4 linked regions of the Rattus norvegicus genome follow. The protein of the gene in region 4 interacts with the protein of the main gene of each other region in a pairwise test. Links are inferred from orthologs where the notes say so. Each region holds a gene or a part of one and is shown on either strand. Other genes may lie near its edges.

Region 1 (7,915 bases), on a different chromosome or scaffold from region 4:
TTTGTTGTTGGGGGGTGTTTTTTTTTTGTGTGTGCAGTGGGGGGGGAATAAAAACTTGAGGCATGTAAATTTTTAGAAAGTAGTTTGTAAAGAAGTAAAAGGTCTTTGTAATCCAGGTTTTGTTTTTGCAGATCACATTTCTTTGAATGTTGGAGAGTAAAATAAACTGGTCTAGGCACTTTTCAAAAAAATCTTGCTTTTTCTGTAGACTTTGTTGTACCTTACAGGTATAACTACCCAACTAGACATTTGTTTCTGAGGTTTTAGAGATGTATTCCTTAAGAGTCATTGCCTATGGGGGACAGCATGGGAAGCTGTGCAGTTTAGAACCATCTGAAATCCTCATGCTTAATAGATCTAAGGTAACTTCAGTCTATCATGTAGCACACTATCACCAAAATACATAGAAGCCTACTCTCTAGTGGGTTCTGCTATACGTTATACAGCTTTGGCAGGAATATTCGTCTAGAAGCTCATGCAACTGTATTAATTTGAAGGCTAATTCAGCCTGAGTACTTCCCACACTCCCATGGGAGGCAGGGTTTCTCTGTAAATATGTCAATAGCCCTGGTTGTCCTGGAACTTGCTTTGTAGACCAGGCTGGGGTTAAAGGTGTGCCACCCTGCGGCCAGTCATGGCTGCTTTTTTTATTCTTTGAGCTATGCTTTAGTGTCTAATAAAGTCAGTAAGCATCTTAGTCCCAAACTAGAAATTCAGGCATATGCTGCATGCTAATGCATACATAAAAATGTATAAGCAGAGGCACAAAGGAAAAAAAAAAAAGAACTTTACATTGGCTGTTATCACAGAGTTACACTGGAGCTTTGAGAGAATACATTCTCTCTGCAGGTTGCATGAGAAAGCAGAGTCTGCAAGGTGGGATTGTTTAAGTTGCCCCTGAGTGGGAAGTCTAGCCACTAGAAAGCAAGTATGCAAAAGCTAAAATACACTTTGGTTTTGAGACGAGGACTCTAAAGCCCTTGCTCTAAACGAGGCTGTGTAACTCATATGTTCCTACATAAGTTTGCATTAGTTTTTCCCTATTAGCACAAAGGAATTATAGTTGGGCAGGGCTGTGCACACTGTCAATCTGACATTCAAGCTAGAGAAACCTGTCTTAAAAGAAACAGCAAAGTAGCAGCATCACAGTCATCCCAAGTAGACAGCTATAAATCACTTACATAAAACAATATACTGGGGAGAAAGTTTATTTATCAATTTCACTTTTCAAAGTCAGATCATAATTTTTTTAACTTTTCCCTTAGGATGGATACTCAAGTGTTTGATTTGGACTTCTATCTGCTCTGAACTTAACTGAGAAAACTAATTTGCTATTTGGTCTAATTATATAAGAAACTTTTACATAAATGGAAGGGTTGCACATTAATCGGGTTACCTAGGATTGATAAAGTCAAAATGAGTCTTTGGGTTTATTAAAATCTCATATAGCTTAAATCTTTTCAGCTATAAAAAACCTAATACAACAGATTGACTTTGTGTAGTTCACTAGCATATCACTTACATTGATTCACTGGCACTTTAAGCATAAGGGCAACCTTTTAAAAACTGGAGACCTTTAAAATTAGGCCATAAGATTTTTCAAAACAGTTCATGGTCATACATTCAGCAAATTCATACTAAAAATAGTCTTATTTTGTAGAATAAAGGCCAAGAAAACATTATGTTACAAGCTTATTATTACATGTATATACATGGCTTAAATGTCATGAACACAACTCCCTATTTCAAGCAAGCTTTGTATAGGTGAGGCTGGATCCCTTAGCAGCTTTGTGGGATGCTGTTGTATAGAAAAGGTTATCCAGCATTCTCTGTTTTTGGAAAGGGTTTGGTACATACATCTCTAGGTAAATGCCTGCCCACTGCATTTAAGGAGCTCTGCCTGCCCTTTACACGCTGACCACAGCGGAACTTCAGCCATTTCCTAAAAAATGCCCAAGAGAGTTTGGGTGACCCTAGACCATGAAACTGCTTGCTGCCTGATTTCTTCAGAAATTGTGTACCAACCCATGAATATTAGTATCAATCAATACAAAAGCTAAGGTTATTTACTGTTTCTCAAATCTAAACTTGAATTTAGTTAGCAATACTACCAAGTAGAATTGATTAGTCACTTAAATTGTTTAAATTGCATTGACACTATAACAGTATAGTGTATATACAGCACATAAGTGAATGCTTATACTTGTAAATTACTAGTTTTTCACAAAATGTCAAACCTTTTGGCTATGTGTAAACATCAAAAAATTTAAAATCAGTACTTAATCTAATTTTATACCTGTACTTTAAGTAAGGTTTTAAGTTGAAATGTCATCGTTTCCTTATCTGAAGGGTTCAAGGAAACATGAACCCAGTGGCTTGGTGGCTTGGGGAGAACACTTGGTGATGGTGGTTCACTAAATTTGGCTCCAGCATAGTTCTGACTAGCTTGAGACTTAAAAAGCAAGCTAGGACTTGATAAGCTAGCATTCCAGTTGGAGTTGTTGGAAAGGCTCTTGGTTTTTCCCCCATTTTGCACTGCCGATGGATTGTACCCATGTCCTCTTTCCTTTTTCTTATGAACGATCTTCATCTGGGAATTCTGATCCTTGGTCTTCTGTCTATTGTGCTGTTGTTGGTTCTTGCTAGCATTTCTAGATTGAGGGTCTGGAATGTTATACCTCTCTCCACCACCCATCTTCAGCTTCTTTGTCACCTGTAAATACATGTAAACATCAGTTAAATTCCACATGTCCCCTTTGACGTTTCCGTAGCTCCAGTTGAAAATATGACAAGGTAGGATTAGACAGGCTCCCCTGCAAAACCATCTACCTCAAGAGACTAAAGTCCTGAGCCAAAAACCAGTTTGTGAAATCAAAATAAGAAAAACAATTGAAGCAACCTATTCATTCTTTGTACAACCTGATAACCTCACACACCCAAATGAACCCGTTTCTGGAGAGGCCTCCTGTACCAGACTGGCCTCCGACTTGAAGCAGTCTTGCCCCAAACTTAAGAGGAGTACTGGAGTTACAGGCACGTAATAGTGCCCCAGCACCGTGCATGGCCGCTGACCTTAATAGTTTAGAATTGCTTCCATTGTAAAATAAGTGGCCCCACTATGATGCGAGTCATTATTATACCTTTCAGTCTGCTTTTCAGATTGCAGAATTTCCACTACTTGGCCTCTTCCTTGCTGCCAAGCCCAGAATAAGAGACGTTGCTTTCTGCTAGATCCTTTCCTTTGTCTCAATACACAAGTTTTCATGAGCCAATCTGCTGATTTCAGCCTAGGAGCTGAGGCCCACATCGAGTCTCCTCAGCACACAAGTTTGAGAGAAGTCGTAGCTAGAAAAGGAAAGATAATTACTTGAAAACAACCCCACAAAGTGATCGCGTAGACAGTCTTTAGAAATGGCTGTTGCCGCTTCCTCAAAACTTCAATGATTGTATGAGAGAAACCACGACTTTCTTTGACCTCATTGTCAGCTTTCAACTCTTGGGAACTTTTGGGAAGACTTAGCAACTCCTCTTGTTTTAAAGTAAAACTAAGGAAGCGTTCGCTTCTGTGGCCACACCAGGAAACTAGGGACCGTGCTTTTAAAGTTCCATCCATATTTAACGCTTTCATTTCAACCCACACTGCTATTTCCACACCAAGGTTCTTTTCCCAGCAATGTGCATCGTGCTTTCGCTTGACTCCGGTAGTGGTACCATAATTTTTCAGAAGCCATAATAAGCTTACATTTTTTTTTTAAACATCACGTCTCTCTCTAAAGTGAATGGTTTCTCTCAATGTTCTAATTAGTCAAATTAGCAAACACCCGCACAAGGCTAAGAAGGCCTCCAATTTTATTAAGTCGGACGGTCCGCATTCCCAGTCGCCCACACAGCGAACCTGCAAGCTCGCCGCCTCAGCCCGCCGGCGGCTCAGCTCCCGGGAAGTCGCGCCCGCCCGGCCTTGCTTCCTCTTCAGCCAGGCCCAACAATGGTGCCCGCTGTGGCCAACATGGCCGACCCCGCCACACTCACCGACTTCGAGTTCGGGCGGCGGCGGCGGCTCTCTCTCGACCTCCAAGCCTCCTTCCCTCTCCAGGGAGAAACGATGCACGGACCAAACAGCCCACGAGCGAGTCCCAGATCACAACTTCTTCTTGGACCAACCTCCTACTGCCTTTACCGACAAAATGGAGGCTGCTGCAAGCGCGGAAGAGGATCGGAGACTGTGCAGCCAATGAGGACGCAGCAGCGCGTGCCGCAGCCAATGAGATGCCGGCCGCCGCCTGTTGCTGGGGCGGGCCGGAGGAAGTGAGGGATGGCTGTTGTCGTGGTTTGAAATCCTGCGGGAGGAGCATGTCGGGAATAACTGCCCAGCTTCGGGAGCCGCGCTGCGGGTCCTCCCCCGCGGGCTGGCGAGGGCAGCTGCTCTTCTGTTGGCCTCTGTGGACGCCGAGCCGGTGTTTTACTTCCTTGACCAGACCCCTGCGCAGCGCCCTGTGTTTGTTCCTGCCCCTTTCTGTCCTGCAGTCACTGGGCCGCCCCAGAAGCTGCCATGGGTCATGGTCACCCCACCCAGAGCCCGGCAAGCATTCTGCACATGACCATCTTCCTTTTTCGCGTCCCCTCTGATCTAATTTCACTTTTCTTCAGTACCTGAGACAGTCACTACCATCAGGGCCTGCTTTTTCTATACACAGCACTGGCTGGTCCCTTACACATTTTTTTGGTCTTGTTCAGAAAATGGAAAAACTAGAGAAAAGAAAGATACAGCTCAAGAATGACAGCAAGGTTCAGGAAAAGGAGAGATATCGGCTTTTTTAAAAAAAAAGCAAAAGTATATATGAAATGTCAACATTCAAAGGTGAACGCTAATTTCTATGAATAATTTTGGGGGGCAAATGTGCCAGGTGTCTTACCCCATTCAGGCCTGTAATCCCAGCCTCTCAATTTTGAGATCAGTTTGGACTTTATAGCAAACCCCACATCTCAATGAAACAAAAGCATTTCATTGGCTCCAAATTGTGATGCAAAATCACATACACACACACGCACACACACACGTGAATATATATATACACATATACATCTATACAGTCATTGCCATCCAGAATTAAGCTGGCCCCCCGAATTTTGCAAGCCTGCCCACGTGCATCATGAGTGCTTTCTCTGCCCCTTATCTTGTACTAGACTTACATCGTCTCATTTCATTCTCTTGGCAATTTTTAGGGCAAGCTGCTATTCTGATTTCCAAGATATTGAGGCAATATACACTTCTAAGCGAGAAGCTACAGTGAGATTCAAGAGCCTTAGAGTTCATGTACCCTACGATGTTTGTGTCTTCTGTGTACCTAAAAGGTGTTTGACCTAGAGGACATTGTTCCCAACATTGCCAGAAGTTTTGAGTGCCATGAAGCCCATGTCCTGCCATCTGCCTGAATCTGCTCTCTCCAACAAGGTCACGGGCTGCCTTGGGAGAGCATGGTTCTGGCTTTCACCATGTCTTAGCACTGTTCTAGCTCATTAATAGCTATCAGCCCACAAGAACTCCCAACTCTGAACTGTATGTGAAAAATAATTCCTTCTTCAGGATATCTGATCACCCATTTCGTGCCTGATTCCCTTTTGTTTGTGTGACTGTTTTGTTTGTATGTCGTATGCTTGCAGTGCCCTGGGAGGCCAAAAGAGGGCAACACATCCTCGGTAAGGCCTTACAGATGGCCGCTATCTCTACCCTCTTGAGTTCAAGGGCAGCCTGCTCTCCAGAATGCATCCCAGGTCAGCCGAATGCATCTCCGGTCAACCAGGGCTACACAGAGAAACCCTGTCTCAAATAACAAAACAAAATAGATAGGAAAATGCTGACACAAAGCCTCCTGAGGATGCAAATCTCAGTTCAGCTCGAGGACAAAGAGCTAATAACTGCACCAGCATTTTTTTGTTTGTTTTTAAGACGGGTTTCACCGTGGAGCCTTGGCCAGTCTTGAAGTCGGGCTTAGAGATCTGGCTGCCTCTTCCTCCCTAGTCCTGGGACTAAAGGCATCCACCACCATAGCTAGTGCATATTTAATTTAAAACATTCATTTTGCCAAACTTTATCTAGTGCCTGCTTTGGGGCTTGACCCTCTGCCACACCATAAGTACACAAGTAAATGAAGCCTTATCTGGATCCAAAAAGAGGAAAAGCCCTTTCCAATTTGTGAGACAGGGGAGCTGAGATTTGGGGAAGCTTGTCCATGTTTTCTCCAGACATGAACAACCTGCTCATTGCAAGGGAATTAGAACCTATCACTGCTAAGAAGGTACAGCTTGAAGGTTTGTCCACAGAAGGCTTTTAATTATACATTAATTAAAAAGAGGCAGGGGCTGGAGTCAGTGGTCAGGTGTTTGCTGTGATATATTTGAGAATCTGAGTTCAGAACTTCTGGGCTCACAGAAGTTGGTAACTGCTGTGGGAGGTGCATAATCTATAGCCCAAATTCAGTTAGGGAACATCTCAAAAAACAAAATGAAGGACACAGTAATGATTCTCTTCACTCCAGCCCTTGGGAGGTGGAAGCAGGTGAATCTCTGAGTTAAGGGCCAGCCAGGCTTAGTGTGATTGTTAGTCCAAAACAATCACAAAAATGGTGAGTCTGGTGAGCTCCATTAGCAGGTCAAGCCACTCCAGCCTCTCTCCCCTAGAGACTCCCCTAGAGTCCCCTACCAACTGGAGTTCTGGGACCTACGAAGTAGGAGGAGAGAACAGACTCCTACAACTTCTCCTCTGAAATCCACGACATATCACAGCATACACATGCACATGCAATAAATGAAGAAATAAAGAGCCAAGGAGGAGGATGTCCATGTCAACTTCCGGCCTCAACCGGCACGTGTGTCCCATACAGGCCCCAACACACACATACAGAGAGAGAGAAAGGTGTGTGTGTGCGCGCACGTGAGCGTGTGTGCTTGTTTTGTGAATATTCTCTTGCCTAATCTAAATAGAAGTAGAAAGACGGAAGGCAAGTGACACCAGAGTCTATTAATAGTTTAGACTCTGGAGGGCCAGGGGGGTTGGCACAGTCACCCTGTGGGGCACATCTATACAAATCTCTAGTCTACTGACTTGCAGAGCTGGCCACTTAAACTTAGTTTGTTCTTTCTTCTTTAAACTTGGTTGCAAATTTGGGGTCAGTTTGAATGTCTGCAGGCCTGCTAAGCTGACGGCTTGCTTCAGTTTAGAAACACAGAATCTATACTGCCTGCCAAAAAAAGAAAGAAAGAAAGAAAGAAAGAAAGGAAGAAAGGAAGAAAGGAAGAAAGAAAGGTTAAGAATCGAGCAATGGGCCCTGAGGTACGGTTTATGCTTCAGGGTTCTCAAAGTGTTTCCAAACTGGTACGAAGCCCCACACCGACTTCCTCACCCCATGCATTTGTTTCCTGGGGAAGGAAGCATCTGGGGCTGGTTTCTACACGTTCACGCATTCCGGAGAACTTTCGAGTCTATTGCCAGCCGTGACAGTCACCTGATTCTAATTACCAAACGGAGGAAGCACAGGAAGTCCGTGGGAAACTCCCACTGCTCTCGTGATGTTCAGGGAGGGAGGGGTTCAGCCAGCAAAACCTTAAAGAACATTGCCATCTGAGCTACCCATTAACACCCACGTTCGCAAACCTGGGGGATGGGCCCATGAATGTTTCAATCCAGCGGAGTCCAGTGTGTCACTAGTTCAGCCACAGATCTGAATTACTCTCTGGCAGCCCCTTGTCATGGAGCCCTGCGTAGCAATCAACAACACCTGAGAAGGCATTTCCGAAACAGGATTATTTAGCTTAGCTTGGTTGTAGTCGTGGGTGGTGTTTGAACTGGATCTCGCGCACCTCGGGCTGGTCTCAAACTGGCTTCGCAGCTGAGAGTGTCCTTGCATGGTCTTGCTGC
Region 2 (7,051 bases), on a different chromosome or scaffold from region 4:
ACCTTGATTTCGGCCAACAAGGTTCATCTATGAGGACCCTTGTAGAGACTCAAGTAGTCCAGGGCTTAGGAAACGTGAATTCTAACCATTTCTTGGTTTTGGGGTGGTCTAGCCAGAGGCCTCATTGTAAAGAAACTCTTTCTTCCATCTTCTAAGGGAAACACAAGCTTTTTTCTCTATTTGCTTGGGATTTCAGCCTTCCCTTTTTTAAATGTATTTATTTACTTATATGAGTGCTCTATTTGCATGTGCCTGCTTGATATAAGAGGGCATCATAAGCCACCACATGGTTGCTGGGGATTTAGCTCAGGACCTTTGGAAGAGCAGCCAGTGCTCTTAAGTCCTGAGTCCTCTCTCCAGTCGTCGGAGTTTCCGTCTTTTCTATTTTTATGCTGCAGTGCAGTGTTGCTGTAGTTAAGTAATCCACTGTACTCTCCCTGGCAGCGTGCATGTTCCTTGTTACCCACCCCAGTGCTCTGGATTCTTAAAGAATCATACACACACACACACACACACACACACACACACACACACACACACACACACAGAGCCTTCTATTTTTAACACAAACAACTCAATGGCTGGTCTTCTCCCAAACTTCCACATTGCTAACACCTCTCCTATGGTATTCCTGGATTACTAAAATCTATATTCCATTTTTGCTACCTTGGATCTAGGCCTATAGCCTTCCTGGGCTCTGACTCTTACGTGTTGGCAGTCTCTTTGTCTCCCGGGCCTAACTTCTTAGGCCTGGAAGCCCCCCACCCCCACTTACCCACCACCAACCCCATGCATGGTGCCTTCCTCCTCCTCCGTTTCTTGCCTGGGAATCCTAAAAGTCCTGCCTCTGTCTACTGCCCAGCCATTGGCTGCCATCAACTTTTTTTACCAATCAAAGCCCAACTGGGGACAATGACCCTCAGCATCCGGCAGGCAGACATGTGAATTTCCGTGTAATTTCAGAAACCTAATTAACATAATACAAGTAGTAAAACAAATTCACCGCAGTGCAGGATCAACCTCAAGGCTTCAAGTGGGCTTTTATTTTCATTGTTCCCCTCCTAGAAACTAGTCCACAGCATAAGATACCACAAAGTCCTATGGTTTTCCTCACAAGGGGCTTTTGTGGGGACATCGGCAACATGGAATTCTTCTGATGGTTTGAATATATCTTTATCGATCATCTGCCTGCTTACAGGAAGTGCTGTTGTAATGAGAGCCAAGAGTCAGAAATCCAGGTGTTACCTTCTATCCTGCTTACTACAGGATACTTTTATTTTTTACTGGTTCTCAAATGTGTGCATTTGAATGTGTGCTTACCTGTGGGTACATGCAGAGGCCAGAGAGCGACGTCCTGCCCTGTCGCTCTTCACATTCCTTCCTTGAGACGGGCTCTCTCTTTGAAGCTGACGCTAGGTCGGCAGTCACAAGCCCCACTGGTTTCCCCATCTCTGCCCCCCATAGCGTGAGGCCTACAGTTATGTATGGCCACGTCCTGTCTCTTCACATGCTTGCCTGGATCTGAACTCAGGTCCTCATGATTGCACAGCAAGCCCTCCTTTTCACTGAGGCACCATGCCAACCCCTAAGATATTGGTTTTGCTGATATCAAATGCTTAAGTGTCAATGGTGCTGATATGTGGAGTGTATGTGGCGGGGGTCATATGTGCACATTATAGCATGTGTCTGTGTGTTTATTCCATCATTAAAGACAGGGGTATCAGGTCACCATCCTGTGTATCTGTTATGTGAATCTCATTGTTCATTTTCTTGATATGACTTCTGCAGACACTGGACACTTGCAAAGCAGTTGAATTTTGCATTATTTATTGTATTACAAACAGTGGTGATTACAAGGGGACAGAGGCAGCATGGTGCCTGGCACTTGTCAGTGGCAGCATGGCTCTCTGGCACAGTGACTTTTACTGTGCACACTGCACTTTCGAAGTCTTTGGTATTAGGACAGCGTACTACAAAAGAGAATGTAAAAGTGGCAAAGGCATATCCTATCCGTTTGCTTCGGAAACAACTCTTAGGTGTCTGCATCGCCCTTTCACCTTAGAAGCCCCTGCGTCTGTGCCCAGCCCAGTGCCTGCACCCAGCTTCCTCACATTTGGAGTTGAGCACTTGCCCCTCTTGCTGCCTGTTACACAGGAAATGGGGCCTTAGCATACATGATTAAAGTCAGAAGTAATTCCATTTTAATCCCAAACCATTCCTTAGACAGGAAAGAAACCCTTCGGGGCTAGTCATGCTTATCTATCCTAACAGAACAATTAGTGTGTGAAATGCAGAAACAGAAGCAGCTTGATGGAACAAAACCCTATTTTATAGTGGCCTCATAGAAGTGATTTACTCGTGGAGACTAAACTAGGTTGCTTGGTTCTATGGGTCCGCTTTGCAAGGGTTTCTCGGAAGCTTTTTTTTTCCTCATGGAGAGGAAGCAAACAGAAGAGGTGCACAACTCATATGTGTCTACTCTGTTTGAGTTTGGTGTATTTGTTAAGCGTGAACTCGGTGTGTCTCTGGAGCTCATCGATGTGTGTGTTGAGCAGCTTCTCAAGCTCCTTGGCCCGCTTCTCTTCTTCCATGAGGAAGTGCTGCGCAGCTAGGGAAGCCCGGAAGGATATATCTGGTGGAGACTGGAGAGAGGAGGGAGAGTGAGGCTGGACCGATGCAGAGGCTTTACAACCGTAGACATGCACCTCTCTGACAGTCAACTCTGCGGCCTAGTGAAACACTGGGTTTTGGGCAGAGCCCTCCTCCTCTTGTAACCTCGTCCTTGCTAATGAAACCCTCAAGGATTTGAGACATCTCAGCACCAACCCATTAAAGAGCCCTAGAGAGGAAACTGCAGTGACAGCTGCTGTTCCAGGGTGGATGTAAGTACCAGGGATCCTGAGCAGAACACACTTTGTTGACTCACAAGCCAGTAATCAGCTCAGTCTGAGGTGAAGATCAGGCAGATTGCATAAAGGTGGCTCATGCAGAAATGGAAATCAGGCTAGGCTGGGTGAGAGGGCTGAACGCCTAGGGGAGTTGCAGTGGTGTAGGGAGGAGGCTGGCTGAGGGTATCCTGGTGAGGTGGCTGCCTGCCTCTGTGTGTGTGTGTGTGTGTGTGTGTGTGTGTGTGTGTGTGTGTGTGTAGGGTGTGTAGTGGTGTGTAAGGGTGTGTGTGTAGGGTGTGTAGTGGTGTGTAAGGGTGTGTGTGTGTAGGGATGTGTAGGGTGTGTAGTGGTGTGTAAGGGTGTGTGTGTGTGTGTGTAGGGATGTGTAGGGTGTGTAGTGGTGTGTAAGGGTGTGTGTGTGTATAGGGATGTGTAGGGTGTGTAGTGGTGTGTAAGTGTGTGTGTAGGGATGTATAGGGTGTGTAGTGGTGTGTAAGGGTGTGTGTGTGTGTGTGTGTGTGTGTGTGTGTCTGTGTCTGTGTCTGTGTGTGTGTGTGTGTATGTATGGGACTGATCTTTGGTCCTCCCTTACAAGCCAGGCTTAGAGGAAGAAATCTGAGTGATGTCCATTATACCTGGCTGGGAGATGTGGGACATTTCACAGCTTGTGATGTGTTTGGTGTATATTTAAATAAGAGGGAAAATGTTATGGAATAAAAGACAATGTTAGTTTTATTAAAAAATAGAAAATTATTTTAAAATTATATTTTAAGTTCCCAGTTCTTTTATCTATCCTTCTTCCTCTTCACTAATCTTCGAGGCAGTGTTTTATGTAGCCCAGGCTTGCCATGTAGCAGAGGATGACCTTGAGTTCCTGGTCATCCTGGTTTTACCCTAATAGTGCTAGCTAGTTTGCAGGCATGCACGACTGCACCGGGCTGCTTTTACTATCCCTTGCTCTTGTTTGTTAGGAAGAAGGAAGCTTTATGGAAGTGAACCTGGTTAGAAGGCTTAGTTCAGCAATACATAAAAACTTGTGATCAGAGCAGGCGACGCAGAGTCCTGAACTTTTATCCAAGTGTTAAATCCCAACCTCTGGGTTGTACCTCTGCAATGGGTGCAGCCTCCCCACCCAAATCTGAACAAACAGCCTGGAACAAGCAGGGTCTGCAAACACCCTGAGCAGGGCAAACACCCTGAGCAGGGCAAACGCACTCTGTCCAGGGCAAAGACCATCCCTGTGGAATAACATCAGGTTAGTGAAGCCCATGAATCCAAGGCTTGACAATATGCACATTCCAGAGAGTGAAACAGAGCCCCACAAAGACCCAGGGGCTTGGCATGTTTTTAGGTTGGGTGGGGCAGACAGGGATATACATGTTGAGTACAAGTTGGCATGCACCAAAGTTCTGTGTTATTGAACACAAAACAACATGCTGCTATCACTGGGCAGCACAGAAGTCTGAACAAAGGGGGTTCCATAGTGGGTTCAGGATAGGTTAGAAATGTTGCCCCTGAGGAGAGGTGAGTGGTAAATCCTGTTCTAGAAAAATCTTCATTGGACAGAATGCCTTGTACATTTTATAAGCCTCAGGGGGAAGGCCGTGTTGCAGAAATTTAAGACCAGAACGTGGTTGTGCCCCCTGTAGCAGAAGCCTGCACGCTCTGCAAAGGTTACTCCCTCCCTTGCTGCTGAGCCCAGGAGGACACAGAGCGCCTTGCATGTCCCATCTTAAGTCCTTGGCAACCACACAGGAGATTACATATGGATGCAATAGCAGAGTGGCTCTCAAACTGAGAGCTCCTTAGGAAGTGTCTGTTGATTCTCAGGTCACCTGAGCCCAGATGTGCCACCCGTGAAAAACACAAAGCAGTCTCCCTGTGCCTTCTAGACCTCACAGGGTCCCTCACGCTGTGGAGAGGGAGGGTTTTCTCTGCACTGAAAGTGGCCTACATTCCTGGCTAACCCCTCCTGTGGGATGATGTCACAGGTGAGGCGGGTACAAGATAGAAGGAGGCCTGTCATTGGACGAGAAGGAAGGATGGGCGGGAGAAAAGTTTGAGGGAAGAGGAGGAGACTGGGATGGAAAGGCTGGGAGAATGGAGAAGGGAGGGGAAGGCACCGAGAGAACATGGAGGCGGATGTTAAGATTCCACGCTGTACCTTCACAGGTTGTTATGAATGTTCTTTTTTTTTTCTTTTTTTCGGAGCTGGGGACCGAACCCAGGACCTTGCCCTTGCTAGGCAAGCGCTCACCACTGAGCTAAATCCCCACCCCTGTTATGAATGTTCTTAAGGGATGGATGTGTACAGGGCTCTGTATGTTTCGGTGGGCAATTATATCTCATCAATTGGATCAGAGGTTACTGTGTTGTGTGTTCTTCCTTGTGGCGATTTGACTTTGGGAGAGTGTGTGGCGGCAGAGATGCTGGGCCGCCACGGAGTTGGGATGTGTGTTTCTGGCAAGATATCTACCAGATATCATGGGGCACTGCGGTGCTGGATCGAGTGGGGGTAAAAGACAGCCATTTTTATAATTTTACAACAACACTCTCCAACCTCAGAGGATTAGGAGTTACTTTGTTGCTCTGTGAATGACCTACATGCTACTCTATGTTAAAACCTATCTGGGTTTGCTGCCTCATTCCTGTCACTCGAACACTTGAGAACCTGACTTGGGAGGACTGCTTCAGTTTAAAGTGAGCCTGTGCTAAAAGCTGAATTCTCGTCTCAGCTAGAGTGAGATCCTGTCTCTAAAAACTAAAAACAAACAAAAACCTAAAAGGTATAGCCATTGATTCATGATGGGGCATCAGATCCTCCTTCTGTTTGAGATGGGTGTGGTCAAATGATCTGTAGTCTTAGGTCAGAAATGGTGCTGCACCTCTAATCCCAGCACGCTAGAGGCAGAGGCAAGTGGATCTCTCAGATGGGCCTGGTCTAGATCGAGAGTCGTGAGAGGACTGTATGAGACCCTGCCTCAAAACAGCTACAACCAAAACAAAAGGAAGTGACATTTTAATCTAGCTGTCCTTCTCTATATTAGACTCGGTATTAAATAATCCACCTTTAAGGAGAAAATCAGCTTCTAGGGACTCACCAGAGGGAGGACTTCATTGTCACCAGCCAATGGACTTGTCATTTCTTTGGTCTGAAATGGCAAAGGCGACAAGGGTGTTGGGCTTCTGTTCATCTCACAGTCTTCGCTAATTCTAAAAGAGATCAAATGGATATCAGTGTCCTTCCCGAGTATATCTTAGTTCCCCGTCCACCACTGTGGTGATAAAACACCATGACCAAGACAACTTGTAAAAGAAAGTATTTAATTTTGCTTATAGTTTCAAAGGGTTAGCGTTCATAAGAATGGAGCAAAAGAGCAGCTGAGGGCTCACATCTTGTCTACAACCATAAAACAGAAAGCTAACTGGGAATGAATGGCATAAGTCTATCGAAGCCTCAAAGCCCTCCCCCAGGGACACACATACATCGTCCAGCAAGGCCACACCTCCAAATCCTTTCCAAATAGTTCCACCAACGGGGGACCACGTATTCCAATACAGAAGGCAGTGGGAGCCACTCTCATTCAAACTACCAGAGTGGCTACCAGAGGCTATTGTAGCTGAAAGTTTTGATTTCTCTGATGTTCAACTAGGGAGAACCAATCAAATGGTTGAGTTTGTCTGGGGTATTTCTTTGAAAATAGTCTTTCTGAATAATCTCAAATTTACTTTAAAAACTTGGATGAAGAGTGAAGAGGCAGAGAACACAGTGGTTGCTAGGTAGCCTCAGCCTTCCTAATTCTGTGCGGTGATTTTGTGTTTCCAGGCCATTTAAATAACTGAGGCACATTTGACAGAAACTTTAGAAGACAGAGCAGTGCTGCCGAGGGCAGTTCCAAGATGATTTAAGGTTCTCTGCTGTGCTTGCAGGTGTTCATAGCGACGTGCTTTGTGGATGGGAACTGTGTCACTGTATTAGCTGGCTCCTCTGGATTCACTAACTTACACCCACTTCCCACTCATGCCCTCCCAGACTTCTCACGAACAATCTGTTGGAGCCCTCTGCCTTCCTCTCGCGCTTTTGGAAGGGGTTCTCAGGACAGGTGCAGGACAGTGCATGTAAAACACCTAGAACATGGTGCCTGCTGCCGGTTACACCCAGT
Region 3 (7,949 bases), on a different chromosome or scaffold from region 4:
TAAAAGATGAGTCCTATTTAGCTTGTTTTATGGTCATATTGAACTTTTCTGAAATGATAATGCACCCGTGACAGTATGTTGATTTGTGATGAAACTTTAGTTCAAATCCACAACGGTCTACAGAAAAATTCCAAATTCAAACTCTGGAAATATTTTTTCACTCTCAGAACATCAACTGCCTTTTGAGTTGCAGGCAGGAATAAGGACAATCTTTTATACAGTAATGGAACTAGTAAAACCAGGCAAAATAACCTTCCATTGGCACTGATATACGATGGCATTAAATCCCATGAAGTTACTTATGAGTGTACCTTCAGTTATGTTAGCTATGTTTGAATTTTTGGAAGCTGTAAACCCCAAGAAAACTCTCCAGTCCGTTTAATGGTTAGTACATTAAATTTTATTAAAAGTTAATATTATAAATTTTATTTGGCAGGGTTAATGGAAAGAGATGTTATTTTTGTGGAAATTAGCTTGTTAGCATAGTATAACACTCTTAAAGATCTATGGAAATAATTATTTGTTAACAAATGCTTTTCTTCACAAGGAACCAGTATGGAGCAGAGGGGTTTTTACATTGTCTGTAACTAAAGTATTTCTTCAATTGGATACAAATATACTATGCATGTAAAAATACAAGAAAGTTTGTTTTCACAAATTTGAGCACTCTTCTGCCTACAGCCCCCCCTTTCTCCATGTGTAGTAAAATGCACTTGAGTGGCTGCATGCCTTCACAGCTTTGCACAGAGCATCTCCAGCATCATATCATCCATGCTGACGGCACCAATGATGGGCCTGAAAAAGAGTTCAGTGACAACATCGGTGTTGATGAATCTCAGCAGGAAAAGGGCACTATTCAGTTCAGCCGATCTGATCTGGTACTCTCTTTGCATCAGCCTGATGTGCTCAGTGAGGATCTGCTGAGTTCTCCACTGAAGACTCTCGATGTATTTCACGCACTGCAGGCCAGGCAGGTCTGGAAGTAGAAAAAAAAATCTATTTTAGACCATACTCATTTTTTTTATTTGGTCCCTTTCCAATTAAAAAGTACGCTAGCTTCTTGATTTAAAGGGCTTTCTGGGGGCAAGAGGGAGGTACTGAAATGAGTTCTAAGTTTTCAGAGGCAACACTTCTAAGGATAAAAACATGCACTAATTTCTAGCGGATATGCAGTAGGCATGTGCAAAGACACTGCAGTGTGCACAAACACTGACGCATTCAGTTTTATGTCAATAGACTATAATCGATGCCTCCCAGCACACCAGGGCATGTTCTGTGAAAATATAAAGAAATTGATGTTATTTCAAGAGAAATATACCTGTGAGAATTATACCATTTGATAATATACCAGGTTACAATTACATTGCCCTTCTTTCCTACAATTATGTGGACTGTCCAGTCTTTAGATTGTAAAGTTTACAGCCATAAACTCTGACTCGTGTGTTTAGGATTATTGAACTGCAGGCTGACATTACACTAGGGGCCATAGTGACTCTGATGCTAAAGATTACTGATGCTCCTCACTGGACCATGATTTCCAGATTGTAGGAAGTTCTAAAAATTATGATTCTAATGAATGTTTCAAAGGGTTCTTTTGGAGAAAAACACTGGCAGAAGAATCTCCCCCCCCTTTTTTTTAAAGCATGCTTTTAATAGCATTCAAAGGTTAAAAGATGAAAATATCACAGAGTGAAAGATCAGTCAGAAGCAACTTTGAAACAGATTTGGTTTAAATGATGACATCATCTTTCTTACTTCTTTTACAAAATTCAAGGAGAGTACTTAAAAATCATGTTTAAAAATAATCATGGCGAAAATAACGGTGACAGAAAATAAGTAGGAATCTACTATGAGCAAATATAGCTTATAAAGAAAACAACAAAATCAAGCAATGCTTCTTATCTCGATTATATTTCTAATTAAGACAGCATCAACATCCTCCACTCTATACCCTGGCAGTCAAGTTTGGATACCTATTTGATTGTGTGTATTGATAGTCTCTCTAGGTCTACATAGAGATGGCTCTTGTCGAAAGCTTTCTTAAGCCAGATACACATTACTTTTCACACCACAGCCTCTGGCCCTTTCCTTAAGGTACCTATTTTTAACTCTTGCATTAAAAATTCTTTCTAAGATACAAACTAAGAGTTTTCCTTATGGAGTTCTCATTCATACTGTTTTGGTTGGTCCTCATTTCCAACTCCTCCGAGCATCTCCCTGCCCCTCTCCCCTACTTGTTCCCTTCCACCCACACAAAATGTCCCTTCCATGTAAGGGCAAAAGAGAAAAGGACTCCACAGTTTACATATCTCCTTACTTTTTCTTATGCCCTTATGTTAAAACCCATTGATATGTTTATATATAATTTTAAAGCTCTGTGTCTTTGTCAACTGTAAGGCTTTAAACATAAAGACAAGAGAATGCAAAAGGGTAATCAGGAAAGAGACCACATGCTTTACAGACCTTGAATTGTACACAAATGTGGGTGCATTACTCTTTAAAAGCATACAATCTGGTGGGATAAACTCCTATGGAGAGAGTACTGGGGAAAAGAATAGAGGAAGAATAAGAGAGGGATGGAGAGAGACGGGAAGAGTGGTGAAGGGTGACAAAGGATGTGAAACAGGGTCAAGGCAAGTGGCGAACTACTGGAAATACAGACTTCTGAAGGCTGAGACCTTGGTCTCGACTTTGAATCTCAGCAGAGCAGGATTAATAGCATTGGCTGAAAGAGAAACTGTTTCTCAGATGACCTCAGATATCACCTGAGCCACTTGAGGATTCGGACTTGCAGGATCTGGGCTGGGCTGAACTAATGACTCTTAAGGGGAGGAGCTGGGGAAAACTTAACATACCCTATCCCCTGCAGCACACATCAGGAGCCCTTTAATTGGCAAATTTGGAAAATGGGGATGTAGGAAGAGCTGTGTGAAATGAGCAAAAGCTTTTTAAAAGTTATGTCACTGGATTTAAAGGACGGCTAAAGAGAGAAGAGTCAGTCATGTCCCATGAAGGCAGAAACTTCTGTAGCAGCAGATAATAAACGTAGAGAGCTTACTGTTCACACACACACACACACACACACACACACACACACACACACACCCCTACACCACCACCACCCCCAGTGCCAAGTTTCTGGCAGAAGCTCACCCACTTGACCACTTGACTGGCCATTCCAGATGTATGCATCAGCTTTTCAGAGTCAGTCACAAGTAACGTGGACTCCAAAATTCCTATAGCCACTGAAAACTCATAAATGCTTGCGTGTAGAGGTGGTGCTTTTCTGACCTGAAGAGACAGTGTACAAATTTGTCATGCTTACCTGGGTTAAAAAGCACGGTCCCCTTCAGATAGGCGTACTCTTTGGTGTCAATGTTCAGACTCCAGCACTTAAAAAAGAAACTCTTGATGGCCTGGACCGCAGCGACTGAGAGCACGTGCCCAGCCTCCGCAGACACCGTCTGTGGCTGCTCTGTGGCCTGGGGATCTGCGGGCTCTGGGCCTTCGGTCTCCTGCCGCCTGGTGGTGAGCATTTCGTGCATCAGGTTGGGCTCGGAAATCTCCATCATCTCGAAGTGCAGGTGATCTTGGGCCAACTCAAGCATGAGTAGGGGCGCCCAACAGCTCCGCACCAGCACCAGCTGCTGATCTAAGGGCAGGATCTGGAAGCAAGGCAAGTACTTGACAAAGCGCAGGGTCTTCAATAGGCCAGCCGACGCTGCCTCGCACACCACCTGTGGATCCTTGAGTGCAATCGGACGCTGCACACCAGAGGAGGCGTCCCACCAGGGGGCCCTCGGCTGCTCTTGCGGAGCTGCTGGTGTTTGATCTGCTCTCACGGGCGTGTCGGAGGCAACGCTGCTCTGCTGGGGCTGCTCTTCACCGCACACATAGCTACGGTACAGGAACGCCATGGCCTGTGTGCTCTGAAGCCCCTCCGGGCCACCCACACTCTGGGTACAGTAGGACAGCTGCCACCACTCGCCTCCGCGATGTGCCTCGGGTACTTCCCGAGACACGTGCGTTTGCTGGGCACTAGTGAGCAAGCTGTATAAGATGCTGCCCTGCCTCGGGTGCTCTTCTCCGCAGAAGCAGCAGCGGTACAGGAGCGAGGGGACCTGGCCAGCTGGCAGCCCCTCTCTGCCCACCAGGGGCTCTGCGCTGCTGCAGGCGCAGCCCCAGCAAGGAGCTCTGAATCGCGCCCTGGGCGCCTCGGTCGCCCCGCTAGGCTGCCTGGCGTTGGTGAGCATAGAGTAGAGGATGCCACCCTGGCGCGGGTGGTTCTCCCCACAAAAGCAGCAGCGGTACAGAAGGGACAAGGCTTGCCCGCCGGGCAGTCCCTCCCCACCCAGGACGGGCTGAGTACCGCAGGCGCAACCCCAGCACTGAGCCCCCAAGCGCACCTCTCGCTCTTCCCTAGACCCGTGCTTCTGCTTCGCGCTCATCAACAGATTGTAGAGGATGCTGCCCTGCCACGGGTGGTCCTCACCCGCCATGGCCTGAGGCTCCTGCAACCCGTTCTGCCCAGTGGCCGCCGCTTGGGACTTATTTATACTGAACGCTCACGCAAGCGCATCCGCCTCCTCCGCTAGGACAAGGGCGCAGAGGGGGACGCGCTGTTGCGCTTGAATGTGTGTGGCCATGACCTCGGAAGTTCAAAGGGGCAAACACTCCCTAGGATCTGGAAATCTAAGGGGAGCGTCTCAGCACAGGAACTGGCATACCGCCCCCCTTCTGTCTGGTTACTCTTCTGGTTACTCCTTCCCCTACCTGGGAAAGAGGAGAGCAGCGAACCTCAGGCAGGGAGTTAGGGCTCTGTTCCAACTCTTGCAGTTGGACTCCGACAGAGGACTCCGACCTCTAACTTATTTCCTTTTCTGGAGAAAGACGTGCTTAAACGGGAGAAATAGCCCATTTCTGTGACATCTTTATAAACTTTTATAGAATGATCACAATTTTTATAACTTGCGTTTTGTATAATGTTTGCTGAGTGTGTTCTCATTTCTTAAGATGTTGAAAAGTGTAGACCCCAGACACGTAGAGTCAGAATTACACCCGGAGGCAGAAATGCCTTCTTTTGAGCGCTAGCCAAAATATCTGAGTGTGAGTTGTAAAATAATTCACCCCCAGGTTACACATATGCACCTTACATTTGAAAAGCATTGGCAGAAGCAGGTAATAATACATCTTCAGTTTAATTCGAGCAATCACCCGCTTTGTCCTAGATGCTGGATCAAAGAGCTGGGGGCTGCAAACATTATGTACTTGTAGCTGACTCCTAGGAACAGACTAATCACAAGATTGTTACTGTGAGAACTTCTCATACTCTTGTAGAAGCAGGTCAGTGATAACTGTCCCTGTTCCCAACCATTGTAAGATACTAACAACAAATACAAGAATCAGAAAGCCTAAATGCTAGCATTTGTCACGGAGCTTCCCACCTTTAGTCTCACTCAAACAAGAGACCAGGGGGCTCTTTCTATTCAACTATGTGACTTTTGTACGACTAGCCAATTCTTATACCCACTAGCCCCATAACTTTGAGAGTACAAGCCGTTGCTCTTACAGAACAGGAAAGGGGACCGGAACACACTAATTGATATGGGACACCCCTCTCTGTCCCGTTCTCCCTCTTCCTCTTCTACCTCCGCTATCCAATTCTGTAGGAACTACTGAAGTGTAAGAAAATTGGGGATACCCTCAGTTTTTTTTTATCGTTTTATTGTTTTAAAAATTTTATACATACTTGCTGACAGTGTCCCTCCTACTTCCATAGGTTTGTTTATTTATTTATTTATTTATTTATTTATTTATTTATTTATTTATTTATTTTAATATTTGTCTTGTTTGGGTAGCCATAGCTGTTATGTGTTCAAGATTGCAATGGTTGTATAATGTCCAGAAAACAGAGTTTCATATTATTCTTCTCCTACATTCCCTTTGCATCTCTTATACGATGCACCCCAAGTCTTGGAGGGTTGATAATGATGTCTCATGTAGGGCAGAGTATTCAGCAGTTAATTTGTATTCTGCCTGTGCTGACCTCTATGGCACAAAGGTTTAATTCCTTACTGTGGCACCAGATGAATTCCATTTGAATCCTGGTTCTGTTATTTTGCAGTTCCATAACCTTGGGAAACATATTTCTTATTGTTGCTATAAAATTACAAATGTAGTGGTTTATGGCAACACAAATAATAGAAATTTATTATATGACAGTTTGAGAAGCCAGAAATCTGAACTCAAAGTACCATTCATGCCAGGTAGTTCTAAGGAAACATCCATTTCCTTGCCTCTTCTACCTTCTAGAAACTACCTGCATTCCTTGGCTCTTGGACACATTAGTCCAACTTCTGTTTCCATCTCCTCTGATTTTTTACGCAAGCTTGTGAATATGTTAGATCCACCTAGATAGTCCAGAATGATATCAACATCTCAAAATTCCAAATCTAATCATATCTGCAAAACTTTTTAAATAAATAAATCCTTCTGAGGACTGGGACCTGCCCATCCTTGAGAACACATTCTCCAAGCATTGGAAAGTTATTTAATGCATCTATTTCTCAGCTTTCGCTGTGTGGAAAAGTGAACAGTAATATCTGGGATATAGTTCTTATACACAAGTTAATGTGTTTAAAATAGACGAATATTAAACATAACAAGTTTTGTTTGTAGGACAAGGGATCAATTGAGGGCCAAGAAGTAATTCTGAAAAGCATTATAATAAAGCTGTCTCTCTTGCTGAAACTCAGCCCCATGCTCTGCTCAAGCATATGTTCTACTTATTCTGTATGTCTGCATTTCTAGATTCAAACTCCCAGACAGATTGTATGATCTTCAACAAGAATTCATAGAGGGCGTTAGCTCACTGTCCATTCCACTATTTGCCACTTTGAATTTTCAGCTACTGCATTCATTAGGTTTATTCTCCTTGCTTAACAATCTTTCTTCTTAGCCAAACTAGCAGTCTAGCTGAAAAACAGTCTACCAAAGTCCCCCACCTTAAGGTCCTATTGGTGGTTATAATTTTGTCTTCTTCTCAACTCCTGTTGATGTTTACCGAGTTATATGATAGTTATTAATCTTCCCTAATCTGTATCAAAGTCGCTTAGGTTCAAGGTATCTATCACTCTGTCCCTACCCATTGGCTCAATGTTCAACACACACAGTAGAGCCCCAAAAGTATATTTATTGATCAACTGTACCTTTTGAAAGAAAGGAGAAGATCATCATCTGAGAACATAGAGGGTAACAATTCCTACTCACTTATTGTGGTGCTGACTCTTGAGGGAAGCTAGCCTAGCAAGCTTTTTAGATTCATGGTTCCTGGTATAAATATTGTTACAATCCTTGTGACAAAGCAACAGGAGAACTGGATTAACAGTTAAAAGACCCAGACTTAAACCTGAGCTCATTTGTTCTAAAGTTATAGTAGGCATCAAAGTGTCCTTTAATTACTATTTTTAAAAGATTTATTTATTTATTTTATATATGTGAGTACGCTATTGCTGTCTTCAGAAACACCGTAAGAGGGCATCGGATCCCTATTACAAATGGTTGTGAGCCACCATGTTGTTGCTGGGAATTGAACTCAGGACTTCTGGAAAAGCAGTCAGTGCTCTTAACCTCTGAACCATCTCTCTAGCCACCATCACCACCACCACCGTCATCATCATCATCATCATCATCATCATCATCATCAATTAGATATTAATTAGACAGAGTCATGATCTCCTTGTGGCAATTTTACTAATGCATTTAATATATGTCACTATATTACAGTCATTTGCCATCCTCTACTCTCAATTCCATATAAGAAAGAAAGTGTGGACAATCATCCTGGCTTGTTCTATCTGACCTGAGGATGTCACTTCCATCCTTTTTCTCCTGAGGACAATATGACTTAAGTTTTCTGTTGTGAAATGTAGATTAATTTCTATAAATTC
Region 4 (7,152 bases):
TCTTGAAAACGGCTCTTTCTGACAAAAAGGTGTTCCTTTGAAATAAAGTCTTATTCAGTACGCTCCTCTTAGAGTTAATGTGAATTTTAGTGCCTCTAATTTTAGATTGAAGTGAAGTCTAGAATAAAACCCACCAGCTGACAATTGAATTTATAGATAGTTGTGAATATTTCAGGCTTGAATAATAGAGCTGTAGAATTTCAGAGACCGAGAGCTGGGAATTAAGACTGGCTGCGATTTTAGGTTATAACGTAATGGCATCTAGGAAATGTTCGGTGCAATGAGCTCACAGTGGTTAGGAGACAACTGTGTGCTTTAGGGGATTCTGTTTGGGCTTCATGCAACAAGCTGGAGCAGCGGCCAGTGCGGGGACGTTCTGCCCCCTCTCTGTTTACCAGGGACCAGTAGAGGAGTCATCTGAGAAGCCAAAGTTGACGGACAGTCTCTGCGTCCACCCTCTCCACTGCTGCTGGCTTAGCTATCTTTATTTATGCTTTCTGTTGTACTCGGGTTGAACTCATGGCCTCATGCAAATACACTGTTCCTGAGCTAACACCCTCAACCTTGTGTGTGTGTGTGTGTGTGTTTTGTATATTTGTCTGTGAGAGAGCATTTGTGTGTGTGTGTGTGTGTATGCATGTGTGTACAGATGCCCATATATGTGATCCTGTGTGTTGATGTCAGAAGACAGCCTTACTTGTTCATTCTTAGGTGTCATCCACTCTATTACTTTCTCCCTTTTCCCTTCACTTCCTTGTCCTCCTGTTCTGTCTGTCTGTCTGTCTGTCTAATCTATCTGCATCTGTCTATACTCTGTCTATCTACCTGTCTTTCTTTCTGTAGGTTTGTTATGTATCTATATAATGTATCTATGTATCTATCTATCTTATCTATCTATATGGTATCTGTCTATCTATCCTCTACCTATTTATCTATATGTATATATGTAACTATCAACACACACACACACACACATATATATATATATATATATATATATATATATATATATATATATGGCATCTGTCTGTCTGCCTATCTATCTGGCATCTATCCATCTGTTTGTCTGTCTATCATCTATCACAGTATGTATGTATGTATGTATGTATATATCTATCTATCATCTATCCATTTTCTATTTATCATTTATCACATGTATGTATGCATGAATGTATTTGTCTGTCATCTATAACATGTATGTATGTATTTATGCATATGTCTGTCTGTCTGTCTATCGTTTTGATACAGAGTCTCTCACTAGCATGGAATCGGGCCGGTGGACTAGGCTTCTAGCTGTCCAGGCCGAAGCATCCCCTGTTTTTGTCTCCCCAGTCCTGAGATTACAAGTGCATGCCCAGGACTTATTTTTTAATGTGGATTCTGGGATTGAATTCAGACAGCATTGTCTTTCTAGGCCTTGTATTTTCTGTTCTGAGATTGCATCGTAGTTTACATATACTGGCCTTAAATTCACAGTTTGTAGGCAAGACAAGCCTTAAGCTTGTGGTCCCCTCTTCTCAATCTTGCTAGCACATAGGGTGACAAGCATGTGTCCTCAGGCCCAGGTACGTATGGTTTAAAGACTTTTAAACTAAAAATAATTACGTGGATATGGTAGGAGGTTGTATGCACATGAGGCTAGAAGACCTGGAGGATCCCTTGGAGGCAGAGAGGCACGCAGTCATGAGTTGAGGGTTGTGGGAACCAAACTCATGTACTTCTGCAAGAGCAGTACATGCCCCTAACAACGGAGCCATCTCTCTAGCCCTCAGTCTTGTTATAGACCATAAGCAAGCAGTATTCACAGCTCTGTTGGCTTCCATACAGTTTTGCTCCAAGGCTTGGAGTGAGACTTGAGTTCAGACGCCACTTTTCCAGTTCCTGGTTATGTAATCTTCATTATACTTCAAAACAGCTGATGAGTGACATGAGTGACAACCTTCTTCATACTTCCAGTAGACAGACGTCATTAATTAAGGGTACAGTTTATGTTGGAAAAGAACCGCACATAACCTACAGCACACACCCAGTTTATTCACTCTCACTGGTGGCTAGAGTGACCAGACCCCATTTAGAAGATCCTGTCTCCATTCCGGGGGACCTCCTTGGCAGCAACACCCCTCAACTCCCTGTTAGCATCCAGGTTACTATAAAGTATGGACCGAGACTTTCAAAAAGACAGCTCGCTAAACTGTCCTCATTTTTCATGGATAGGTCTGAACAATGTGTCATTGACATGTACACAATGGTGACTTAGCAAATTGCTACCCTGTTGGTTTCTGGCCTGGTTCCTTAATCTCATCATCTACAAAGTTTAGAAGCCCAGGGGGAGAAAAAGTCCACAGGGAACAAGTATTGAGATGACTGATTACTAAGTTTATAGAGAAAGGGAGAGGGATGCCTGAAGAAAGGTGGTAAGTTTTGTGACCAGGAAGTTCAATCAGTGTCCCACTGGGGTACTGGACAGGGGCACCAGAAAAAAGGAAAATACTAGGTTGGGAGTCAGGCAGGCAGTGGAAGAGTTAATTGTTAAAGCTTGAGAAAAGAAGGAGAGGGAGACCATCTATGGTTTAGTAACCAATAACTTCTAACCAGTAGCCCAAGATCATAGTGTATGGAAAGGCAGTCCAGTAATAAGTGAACTGCCAATGTAATAGTTTTAAATTAAAAGGAAGTCGGGTTGCAGGGCTGCTGTAAGTCAAGCCGACCTGCTTTCTTTCCAACACTGACTTGAGGAGAACGCCTAGCCCACAGTGCAGGCATGGGGACGAGGAGAAAGGTCTATTAATTACAGTGCTCATTAGCAATGTCAGGGACAAGCAGACGCAGGGGGAGAGGATGCCGCAGCCAGGACTGGCAAGGGGGATCACTTTTTTCCTTTCCCTAGCTTTTGGGGAAGGGACAGTACCAGTGGATAGGTGAAGGCAAGGAGGTCTTTGGGTGGCTTTCTCCCTCTTTCCACACATGGCCATTGGCTTGAGTTCAGGAAGAAGAGAAGTGCTGGACAGGGAAAGATACTTGAGGTAGAGGTAAAGTCCTACCTGCCCTTGCGCTTTGTTTTTGAAAGTGTCCACTTGGAAGAGCCACGCAGAGATTTCTGATAGGAAATCCCATAGTACCATCAATGGGGGAGGGAGACGCGGAGGAGAGCATGAAATTTGTTCGGTGATAAGGCATCATTTGATTTATAGTGAAAGTGATAATTGCATTCATTCGCTTATACTGTGACTACTCCCCCAAATTCCAGAGAATGACCATCATGCACAGTGGGCTCCCGATAAATCAACTTTCCACTGGGAAGCAATTATCTGAGTCCCCTTCTCAACTGTCACCTTTTCATAGTAGCATCTAGGGTTCTTAGAGGCTTGGCTAAGAGGAGCTTTACACCGTAGTGAGGCAGAAAGCCAAGAGGACCAATTATGTCTTTACGTCTAATTACCTGTATAGAAGTCTACCCACTTATGGGGCCAATGGAGAGAGAGGGGGGATGATGTGGTTCTTCTAGGTTAGAGAAATAGTTTGTCAGATTAGGTACCTCGTCTCAGAGCCTTGCATAAGGTTATGGGGTTTTTATGCTCTTAAGGGGGAGTCAAGGAGAGGCCCATCATAAATCTAATTTTTCTAAAATGAGGAGAGTCTTTCCGATGCTACAGCTCAGAATGTCTCCGATTTCCTGACTCACAGGTACCGTGCAGTCTAGGTGGAATTACTGAGTCATCTTTCAACACCTCTCTCCCTCTCCCTCTCCATCTCCCTTTCCTTCCACTCTCCCTCTCCCTGTCTCTGTCTCTCTGTCTCTGTCTTTCTCTCTCTCTTGCATGCACGTGGGCGAGTGTACACACACACACACACACACACACACACACACACACAGATGCACACACACACAGATTATACATTAATCCATTATATCAATCTCCCACTATGCTTTGTGAGCTGGTTCTCACAGGACATCCTTATGGAGCCTGACAATACCTGCTCTGGCTGGAAAAGAAACATTGGATCCTTTTTATTGTAAAATGAACACAGCGTCATGATGTGGAGTGGAATATAGAGTGGAGATAAATGCAATTTGAGGGAAGACAAGGACTTTGCAAATCACCACTGCTTTGTTGATAAATTCAGGATCCGGAAAGCCAGGGTAGCACTGACAGTGGTTCAAGAGAAAGATAAAATAAAAGCAACTGGACCCTTTAGAGCCTTTGTTTATGGCCTGTCTGGGAGCTTTGATGTAACCCTGCCATGCCCTTATGCTGATTACCTTCTTGTAGAACAAGAGATATTGACTGGAGAGTGAATGATGGGTAGTCCCAGCCCTTAGGAAGCTCTCTTAAACAGCAATGCCTTTAACATACCAATATTCTGCTCTCCTTCCTCTCTGCCATGTCTTTGCGTCTACATTGTTGGGACTCAGTTTGACAGTCTCTCTCTCTTCTCTCTCTCTCTGTTTCCCCCTCACTTTCAGGCTTCTCTGCAGAATGTCAAACAAAGATCGACACATTGATTCCAGCTGTTCGTCCTTCATCAAGACGGAACCCTCCAGCCCAGCCTCCCTGACGGACAGCGTCAACCACCACAGCCCTGGTGGATCTTCCGACGCCAGTGGGAGTTACAGTTCAACCATGAATGGCCATCAGAACGGACTGGACTCGCCACCTCTCTACCCCTCTGCTCCTATCCTGGGAGGCAGCGGTCCTGTCCGGAAACTGTATGATGACTGCTCCAGCACCATCGTAGAGGATCCCCAGACCAAGTGTGAATATATGCTCAACTCCATGCCCAAGAGACTGTGCTTAGTGTGTGGCGACATCGCCTCTGGGTATCACTATGGGGTTGCCTCATGTGAAGCCTGCAAGGCTTTCTTCAAGAGGACAATTCAAGGTGAGTGCCACCTCACTCTACTCTATTTCTTTTCTCTGGGACTCATTCTCCTATTTCATATCATGCATACTAATAATTCTATTTTGTGTAGAAAACATAAATATATGGAGGATGCATATAATAATCCCTCCCCAGCTGCTCACCCTGTGCCTTCCTGTTCCACTACAGAGCTCTTTGTAGTCAATGATGATGAGGACATTTCAGAGAGCATAGTAGGTCTGAAGAACAGCTGAGCAGCGTGTAGTAGGTTCACCGTCCATACATTTCTCACAGATGTTAGGAAGTGATAAAATTTAAACTAATGTTTCTCTAACCTGCTCATGTTTTAAAGCCCCTTGGCAATCTCACCAACACGTGGATTACTGTTTCCTTTCTCCAGAATTTCTGGTTCATTAGACCTGTGGTGGTCCCTGAGAACTTACATCCTGCAAAAACAGCCAAGGATGTTGATCCTGGCAGTCCAGGGGTGGCCATTTAAGAAACACCACTCTCGATATATTTATCATGAACTCAACATCTTTTCCTTGTATCTGGGTATATGTTTCCAATGTTTCTGAATGAACTTCTGCAAAAATTGTACCAAGGAAATTGCATTTAAGTACAAAACATACCCCAAACAAATACCAGGGATGCATAGCCACACCTTAACAAATTTGTAGATTTAGAAATAACGTGATTACTTCCTGTGCAAAATGTTGAATGATTGAAATTTTATCTTCTCCTATAAACCAGTCATATACAAATATAGAACCCAGCTTAAACCAGTCATATACAACTATAGAACCCAGCTTAAACCAGTCATATACAACTATAGAACCCAGCTTAAACCAGTCATATACAACTATAGAACCCAGCTTAAACCAGTCATATACAACTATAGAACCCAGCTTAAACCAGTCATATACAACTATAGAACCCAGCTTAAACCAGTCATATACAACTATAGAACCCAGCTTAAACCAGTCATATACAACTATAGAACCCAGCTTAAACCAATCATATACAACTATAGAACCCAGCTTAAACCAGTCATATACAAATATAGAACCCAGCTTAAACCAGTCATATACAAATATAGAACCCATATCTATTTGGGCAGAAGCACACTAGTTATTCTGCTCATGCTGCATACACACACACACACACACACACACACACACACACACACACACATACACACACGCACGCACGCGCACACACACATAAAGATAAATTTATATGTCTATATATTTTATCTATCTATATCTATCTCTACCTCTATCTATCTATCTATCTATCTATCTATCTATCTATCTATCTATCTATCTATCTATCTATCTATCTATCGAGACCAGACAGACAGATATAGGCAGGGAGACAGACACATAGATGATAGACATGTCTATGTTGGAATTGAACTCAAGGTCTTTTGTATGTGCTCTGCCATTGGGCAACACCTATAGCCCCTAATTTACATATGTTCAATAGCCAGTCTTATACACAGAATCTAACTTCTTATATATCCATACTTCTCAAGCTTTTCTGATTATTGGGAATTTCCAGGAAACAATATTTTTAAATATTTCTTCCAGGGCTTGAGCCCCTAGTATCTGTAGAATTGGTATTGGGTATGGCCAGGAAAGGAGGAATTTTTGGTAGCTTCCTAGGTCATCTTTAATGTAGAGTTAAGGTGACAAATCAGTGCCCTAGGCTGTGTTAATATACCAGTGGTCCTCAGAGTGCGATGACTGTGTCAGAACTGTCAGCATCACCAAGAAATGTTTTAGCTATGCAAACCTCCTTGTAAGATAACCCAATGAGAGTCTCTGGTGCAAGCCTGGAACTCTAGGGTTCACAAAGACACCTAGGTGTGGAGGTTGGGGAATGTTACCCTGAATCATATTGATGTTGATTTACCAATGGCATCCTACCATACATCTGATGCTTTTTGTGGAATAGAAGTAAAGTCAAATTATTCAGACCCTTGTTGGTCATAATACTTTGGTTTCTAAGGTATATAAGAGGTATAGCTTGCTCAGCACTAATACTTCTGACATATTTTAATAAACAGTGACTTTAGAGTATCTTACTTGCATGTGGAGTAACTTCCCTACCCTTGCTTTCTGTTGTGTTCGGCCCTGAGTGCTGCAGATGGAAGATAGCTTCATACGTGCTCAGTCCATGCTAAAAGCATGCTACCCTGTTGGACCATAACCCCTTTCATCTGTATTCTTTCTTACAGTGTCTTCATCATGGCTGAGAGCACAGGGTTTACAGACAGCACACAAATAT

What was found.
Region 1: the proteins of Esrrg (region 4) and Pnrc2 interact in binary tests that used the Homo sapiens proteins (3 or more experiments, as listed by UniProt). The link is inferred for Rattus norvegicus from reciprocal best matches to the Homo sapiens genes ESRRG and PNRC2.
Region 2: the proteins of Esrrg (region 4) and Deup1 interact in binary tests that used the Homo sapiens proteins (3 or more experiments, as listed by UniProt). The two-hybrid records come from large-scale screens. The link is inferred for Rattus norvegicus from reciprocal best matches to the Homo sapiens genes ESRRG and DEUP1.
Region 3: the proteins of Esrrg (region 4) and Nr0b1 interact in binary tests that used the Homo sapiens proteins (3 or more experiments, as listed by UniProt). The link is inferred for Rattus norvegicus from reciprocal best matches to the Homo sapiens genes ESRRG and NR0B1.

What each region holds. Positions count from the first base shown.
Region 1 is NC_086023.1:153,386,330-153,394,244, forward strand, and holds Pnrc2 (proline-rich nuclear receptor coactivator 2), read right to left. Parts: upstream 4,178-7,915; 5' UTR 4,030-4,177; intron 3,346-4,029; 5' UTR 3,141-3,345; intron 2,714-3,140; 5' UTR 2,696-2,713; coding exon 2,291-2,695; 3' UTR 1,193-2,290; downstream 1-1,192. UniProt on the Homo sapiens protein: Involved in nonsense-mediated mRNA decay (NMD) by acting as a bridge between the mRNA decapping complex and the NMD machinery. May act by targeting the NMD machinery to the P-body and recruiting the decapping machinery to aberrant mRNAs.
Region 2 is NC_086026.1:20,659,877-20,666,927, forward strand, and holds the end of Deup1 (deuterosome assembly protein 1), read right to left. Parts: intron 6,102-7,051; coding exon 5,990-6,101; exon of another isoform or gene 5,984-5,989; intron 2,643-5,983; coding exon 2,466-2,642; 3' UTR 1,811-2,465; downstream 1-1,810. UniProt on the Homo sapiens protein: Key structural component of the deuterosome, a structure that promotes de novo centriole amplification in multiciliated cells.
Region 3 is NC_086039.1:54,704,215-54,712,163, reverse strand, and holds Nr0b1 (nuclear receptor subfamily 0 group B member 1), read right to left. Parts: upstream 4,507-7,949; 5' UTR 4,500-4,506; coding exon 3,326-4,499; intron 977-3,325; coding exon 732-976; 3' UTR 378-731; downstream 1-377. UniProt on the Homo sapiens protein: Nuclear receptor that lacks a DNA-binding domain and acts as a corepressor that inhibits the transcriptional activity of other nuclear receptors through heterodimeric interactions.
Region 4 is NC_086031.1:102,135,259-102,142,410, forward strand, and holds part of Esrrg (estrogen-related receptor gamma), read left to right. Parts: intron 1-4,465; coding exon 4,466-4,881; intron 4,882-7,152. UniProt on the Homo sapiens protein: Orphan receptor that acts as a transcription activator in the absence of bound ligand. Binds specifically to an estrogen response element and activates reporter genes controlled by estrogen response elements.